Bombyx mori: one gene and its partner. The protein of the gene in region 2 interacts with the protein of the main gene of each other region in a pairwise test. Links are inferred from orthologs where the notes say so. Each region holds a gene or a part of one and is shown on either strand. Other genes may lie near its edges.

Region 1 (3,288 bases), on a different chromosome or scaffold from region 2:
CACCTGGTGTTAAGATTTTACTATACTACTACTGCGTTTTTATAGTCTCTAGCCTGATGTTGCCTTTTCGTATATTTTTATAGCGTAAAATCGTGAAATATAAAACACACCGAGAATATAAACGTAGAAGCTTTTGAAATTCACATGGGTGCACAGAATGATGAAGATACTGTAGATTGATTGAATTCTTTAAAGTAAAATCTTGCAAATGACCACAAAAAGTGGGATTTGAAATACTGTCAAAAACGTATGTTTGGCATAATAATATGCGAAATTATAAATAGGATTTGCCCCTGCTGAGAATGAAAAAGAAAATCCAGGGGACGTGGCCACCCGGAGGAAGACGTTATGGCACAAGTATATCGTTACGTGTATGGACTATGGCTTTAAGATTTAATAAAAATAATAAATAAAAAATAATTTTTTTTAAGGGATCTTTCGACATGGTAACTAAGACCTTTAGGTCATAAATAAATGGTCTGTGCTTCGTAGCGACTAGAGCTACGCAGCACAAATCACTCCCTACGAAATGTGAGATTTTTTCAGTCTACGAGACTATTTCTAAACGAACTACTTTAATGATAGAATAGATGCATGAGAGTTTGTCGACTGAAATTAAGTAAAGTGGTGTCGTTTTTTGTTTTTTTTTCGTTTACCTTTGCTGATAGCATTGAGAGGCTATGTCAGCGTTATCTGACGAATTGGTTTCGACTTTTTTCTAGGATGATTCTATGTCCAACTAGATTAAGTACTTATGATTGTACAGATACGACGTTTCTGAAAATTTAATTAGGTTGGTGTATATAGATAAATTTGGCTCTCTTTATTATTTAAATCTTATCAGAAATACAGATCGAATCACGTGTAACTGAATTAAATAAACACAAAAAAATAGTTACATAAACATTTTGAAGATTCAAGTAGGATCAAAGATATTCAACGCAACACATTGTTGCACAACAAAGCACAATGTGCCTTATTGCGAAAGTATAGTGAAAAAGTTATTCTATTACTCATTACTCTTGGTCTCAGCACTGACTCAACAATTACCGCTCTCTCTATCCGCTTTCTTATGCATCTTTTTATTAATAACGTCGATAATTGAGGAATCCAACCTCACCGTGTACCCAGATAGTCTTAGCTATCCATATATATATTATTATTAAAAAAAAAAACCGCATTTAGAAGAAAGATGTGTTAGTAGTTTAGTTAGTCCTTATTAATCATTATAAAACTTGAGATTTTGATTTAAAAATATTTTAGGTTTCTAATTAATTAAAACACACCATTTTCGGATCGAGTTTTTAAAAAAATCGAGGGTTTTAAAAAAACATCGATAATCTAATGACAGCACATTCGATTTTCTCGATACTTTGTTAGGCTCTATTGAACTAAATAAGTTCAAACGGCCATTTTGTGCTTGACTGTCTATCAGAGCCCATCGTTCAACGTAAGTTTTAGAGTTAAATGAATTTAATATCCCAATTATTTTTAGTTTTAACTTTTTAGTTATGCAAGTGTTTTGTTTACTGAGAAGACTCAATTTAAGCGTCCATCGTCCAAAGGATCTCTTTTCAATTTTCAACCCCTCACCACGTGGTTTATGATGACACAATTTTTTTAATTCATTCGTGGTATCTACCATAGTGTTAGCACAGTGATGGCCTTTATGCGTCTGATAAATAGCTATTCTTTGTGTAAATTGTCTATAATTTAGTAATTATTAACAAGATAAACTATAAATTCCAGAATGGCGGACGCTGCTCCAGCCGGTGGACGTGGCGGTTTTCGCGGCGGATTCGGATCACGCGGTGGAGATAGAGGCCGTGGCGGTCCTCGTGGACGCGGTCGTGGTCGCGGCCGTGGTCGTGGGCGCGGCAAGGAAGACCAGAAAGAGTGGGTTCCTGTCACCAAACTCGGCCGTCTTGTTCGCGAAGGAAAAATCGACAAACTCGAGAGCATTTACTTGTTTTCTTTACCAATCAAAGAATTCGAGATCATTGATTTCTTCCTCGGCCCGTCCCTGAATGATGAGGTTCTTAAGATCATGCCTGTACAGAAACAAACACGTGCCGGACAGCGCACACGTTTCAAGGCATTTGTTGCCATTGGCGACAACAACGGTCATATTGGTTTGGGTGTGAAGTGCAGCAAGGAAGTCGCCACTGCCATTCGAGGCGCTATTATCCTTGCTAAGCTGTCAGTTCTACCAGTCCGAAGAGGTTACTGGGGTAACAAGATAGGAAAGCCACACACCGTCCCTTGCAAGGTAAATGCCACTTCTATATTTAAAAAAATATTTAAATTGTATAAATGATGATAACATTCTAATCATTTCATTCGTGGTATCCTCTTGAGGTTTATCCTGTGAAGCTTTTGAACGTCTGAATTAATTTAATTGTGAAATGAAAACATAAAATTGGTTTCGATCGTTTTAATAAATCAAACAAACAATTGTTTTTTCAGGTCACCGGCAAGTGTGGTTCCGTAACAGTCCGGCTGATTCCTGCCCCTCGTGGTACTGGTATTGTGTCTGCGCCAGTTCCTAAGAAGCTTCTTCAGATGGCTGGTGTACAGGATTGCTACACGTCAGCTCGTGGTTCAACTGGCACCTTGGGAAATTTTGCTAAAGCCACATACGCTGCCATTGCCAAGACATATGCCTACCTCACTCCTGACTTGTGGAGGGATATCCCGCTGACTAAGTCTCCATACTCAGAGTTCAAAGTCTAAGACAGTCATTGTATAACAACTGAATAAAAGAATTTGTCTTACTTTGTACTTTTATTGATTAATATTTTCTTTTTTCTATTTTGTTAGCACAGAGACATCTGCTGCTGGACATGTCTTGTGATTTTTATTGATTAATAAGCTTAAAAAGATATAAACTTCACTTGCAAACTATAAAATTAGCTTAAAACTATTTAATATATTGAAATAAATTAAATAAAGTACTAATAATAAGTACCCTAAAAAATAATAATGTCATTTTAGCTTTGAATTTCTTTCAAAGTTGAGTCTTCAAGATTTTTTTATTTATTAGCTTAGATGGGTCAACGAGCCCACCTGGTGTTAAGTGGTTACTGGAGCCCAGACATCTACGACGTAAATGCGCCACCCACCTTGAGATATAACTTCTAAGATCTCTGTATGGTTACAGCGGCTGCCCCACCCTTCAAAACACCGAAACGCATTACTACTTCATCACGGCAGAATTAGGCAGGGGAGTGGTACCTACTCGCGCGGACTCACAAGAGGTCCTACCACCAGTTAATACGCAAATTATAA
Region 2 (4,098 bases):
GTGTGATATTTATGATGTGGCTATCTTTCTAAGGCAGGCTATAGAGTTTTCTAAATAGTATTACAGCCTTGTCTGAAATTTTAATATTTTTTTTTTTAATTCTTTAATATTCAGTATCTAATATTAGTAGTATAGTAACTTACCTTCTAAAAATACAATTACTAGAAATATAGTTGAGGTCATCAAAATAACAGTTACAGAAAAAAACGTAGATATAAGCAGTAAATTTAATAACCAGGCTGCTATTAAAGTCATTGCCAATGGCTTTCTTAGCAACGATTCGATCAATACCTTTGATGCATTAAGAAATTTTTCCGAAGTCTTGCAATACGAATTGTGCAGTGAACCTGAAAATATAGACGAATAATTATTTTCGTAAATTAAAGTAAATACTGTTGGTGGTTTAAACCACAAACACATGTGAAAAGTATTTTAAAAGATCCATTACTTATTAAATTAGGGTTTACGGTTATTTTTTAATGTTCCTACTTACGAAATGACATTTTTACTACTATTAAAAAAGCGGTGTCTTTATTAATTTCCATATTGTTTTAGTAGTCAGAATTTCAGCAGTTTTGACATCAATAACTAAATCAAGATTCAATTCACACACAAAGCTGAATAAAATTTAGGGTAGGTAGTTGAAAAATGTTTACGGGTAGGTTAAAAAATTTTTTTTACATTTGAGTCGACTATTATCAAAGGCGGCAATCTGACTTTTGGACAATGATTGGTAAATCAGAAAAACGAATTATTGACTTTGTATTCCATTGGCAGTCACAAAACTCTTCGGAACGACATCTTAGATAAATAACAGGTTAACTATTAACCTTTATTTAATGCAGGTTTTGAACCGTATTCTTTGAAAGAGACGATTATATTCAAATAAATCTGTATTGACATATCAATAAAAATTTTTTGTCCAAATGTACAGATTGCCGCCTTTGTTAATAGACGACTCATTTAATCGATTCTACAAATTTTCGGTCTCGGATTCCTAATTAGTTTTTATTAAAGGATTTAATGACTTGGTAACTAAGACTTTTAAGTCATGTCTTATTTTAATTTATATTCTTATGTTTATGAAAAATGATATTAAGGAGTGAAATGAAATGAAGATGATTAATTTGAGACATTAATCAACTGGGATGAAATTAAATGAAATGAGATGAGATGGTATGGAATGAAATATAATCTCAGTAAAATGACTGAGATTATAGATAGAGAGATATCATCTCATCTCATTTCATTTAATTTCATCCCAGTTGATTAATGTCTCAAATTAATCATCTTCATTTCATTTCATTTCACTCCATATTGGTTATCATTTTTCATAAAAATAAGAATATAAATTAAAATAAGACATGACTTAAAGGTATTAGTTATCAGGTCATGAAATCCCTAAAAAAAATGTCATTATAGGAGTTGTTGTTTTGGTAAAAATGGTAAGTTCAAATTCAAACTGATCTAAATAAAAAACTAAACTTCTGATTAATATCAATTTAATTGTACAGATTGGCGAACACAATGAAAACATTCTATCTGATATGCTACCCACTTACTATGCCAGGCAATTTCCGCAAAATATATTCTGTAGATGGCTAGCATGCGGTAGTTCGCCTCAACCGCTCTGTAACAGAGAATTATCATTTACTTTAGCTGACGATGTCTACCTCCGTTATTTGTCGATTTCGCATCAAAAGGATTTACAAACCCTTCTTCAAAAGAAATGTCCACACAAATTGGATGTTGGAGCAGTTTACAACACAAAGTATGTTTTATGTCTAAAAGTTTGTATGAAGTTAAAATATCATGCTTGAATATTTAATAAAGTAAATTTCATTTATTAGCATTTAAAAAGCAATATTACACTCTTTTATTGTCACTTGGTATTCTTCCGTTATTTAAGGCCTTCTGTAGGAAGACATGACGCTGTAGTGATATCGCGAGAACTAGTATTCGATATAGATTTAACAGACTATGATGAAATAAGAACATGTTGTCAAGAAGCTAGAGTGTGTGAAAAATGCTGGAAATTTATGGTTATTGCATGTGAAATCATTGATAAAGCTTTAAAAGGTAAATACATGATTTACTTTACTGAGCTACAGACCATTAAAGATTCTTCTATATTTCTATATTTATTTACCACACCACACTCATTAAAATGTAACCTATCTCATGCATACTTGGGGTGGCGAAAAAAAACTACAAAACCATATGTCCAGCAGAGGATGTTTGTGGGCCAATAGAAAAAAAAAAGAAAACCAAAACATATTTACACTGTAGTAGTTAGTTACTTATATATTTCCACTAGTGAATGGATTTTGACTTCAATTATCCACATCTATAGTATTATTTTCATGATACAAGTGATTCATGATTCTTATAATTGACAAAATGATTGATTGAATTCAAATTCACATCCTTGACTTACTAATTTCAGATGACTTCGGGTTCCAAAGCATCCTGTGGGTATTTTCAGGTCGGCGTGGTATTCACTGTTGGGTATCAGATTATGAAGCCAGAACTCTCGATAGTCCAGGTCGAGGAGCTATTGCCGATTACCTTTGTTTAATCGTAGGTGGTGAAAACCAAAGTAAAAAAGTGCATCTTGGCAATGAAAACTTACATTCCAGTATAAGGTTATATCATTTTTTTTTAATTTGATATTCTTACATGAGATTTACATAAATATTTTTTGAAAATGATAGATGATCATAATTTTGTTGATAATAATTTTGTTAATTACTTCTCGCAAAATTAAAAATTACTTTTATGAGTCGATCTACCCATCCAAAGAAGATTAATAAGAAAATACTATTATTTTCTTTCATAAGCTGCTGGAGCACATTACCAGAGTTTTGACCAGTAAAAATCATTACTAAGGCTAAGGGAAAAGTGATTATGATGTAACACTGTATTATTATTGGTTACATGTGAAAATAATTTACATTGGTCATGCTAATCAGAATTTAGAATGCTTAGAATGTTACCTTGATATAATGTCACATATCAAGATCAGGACTAGATTTGACACAAAGTCCCTTTTATATACATACCTTTATATACTTTACAAGTGTATACAGTAAGACATCACCCCCAAACTTATAATTTTAATACCGCTGTCCTTATCATTTTCACTAATAAACTTTTACACTTTATAATTTTATACTACACATAACTTATATAACACTCCCTTGAGGAAGTTACGCATTCCCTTGTATATTTACACGTTTCATGTTCGATCTGATATTCATTTTCGTAAGGAGAATGAGTTAGGCATTAAGTTTACTAATATATAAAATACATGAAGTGTAAGTAATAAATAAATTAAAAATAGTATATTTAAATACTTGTTCCAGGCGTGCCTTAAATATAATAGACAAATACTTTGAACAATTATTACAAGATCAGGAATTTTTAGCAACAGATAAGCTAAACTCATTTTTGAAGTTGATACCAGATGATGCGTTAAAATCACAGGTTGAAACAACTTTGAAAAAAATGCAGGAACCATCATTGAATAAGTGGAACACTTTTATAAATATTTATGAAAATTATTGCAGAGAGGTAAAAAAATAATAAAATTTTGACATAAAGAAAAATTTGGTACTTCATTAAAAATTAGAAATTCATTGAAAAGTCGTTGGCATTTGTTTTTTAAACTGCTTAAATTTTTTTCCAAGGATACAGTTCAAGATTAACCTACATATTAGAAGTTGTGTCCTAAAAAATATGCATATATATGTATGACTCTATTTTGTCATGTTTTTCAATTTGTAGAATGGAAATGTTATACGAAAAATAAAATATCTTATAGAAGAAATAAAAATTCAATATTGCTACCCCAGATTAGATGTTAATGTGACAAAAGGTTTCAATCACTTGCTCAAGTCTCCATTCAGTATACATCCGAAAACTGGAAAAGTGTCTGTTGTTTTCAAGTCAGCAAATGCAAAGAATTTGAAGATCGATGAAATACCAACAATATACAGTTTATTAGATGATAGTGTCGCCGAAAATAACCAACATGAAACTAATATGAAAGCGGCTGTTAAAATTTTCCAAGAACTTGTATTCGCTTTGGAGAAAACT

The links.
Region 1: the proteins of DNA primase small subunit (region 2) and RpS2e interact in a two-hybrid assay, tested with the Caenorhabditis elegans proteins (2 studies listed by BioGRID). The link is inferred for Bombyx mori from reciprocal best matches to the Caenorhabditis elegans genes pri-1 and rps-2.

The regions. Positions count from the first base shown.
Region 1 is NC_085119.1:4,434,614-4,437,901, forward strand, and holds RpS2e (ribosomal protein S2), read left to right. Parts: upstream 1-1,424; 5' UTR 1,425-1,450; intron 1,451-1,749; 5' UTR 1,750-1,750; coding exon 1,751-2,269; intron 2,270-2,464; exon of another isoform or gene 2,465-2,466; coding exon 2,467-2,733; 3' UTR 2,734-2,774; downstream 2,775-3,288. UniProt on the Caenorhabditis elegans protein: Component of the ribosome, a large ribonucleoprotein complex responsible for the synthesis of proteins in the cell.
Region 2 is NC_085116.1:10,063,802-10,067,899, forward strand, and holds the start of DNA primase small subunit, read left to right. Parts: upstream 1-1,288; 5' UTR 1,289-1,442; coding exon 1,443-1,445; intron 1,446-1,513; exon of another isoform or gene 1,514-1,514; coding exon 1,515-1,771; intron 1,772-1,909; coding exon 1,910-2,079; intron 2,080-2,446; coding exon 2,447-2,645; intron 2,646-3,365; coding exon 3,366-3,573; intron 3,574-3,786; coding exon 3,787-4,098. Other genes in the region: uncharacterized protein LOC101739672, read right to left, coding at 144-347, 494-545. UniProt on the Caenorhabditis elegans protein: DNA primase is the polymerase that synthesizes small RNA primers for the Okazaki fragments made during discontinuous DNA replication.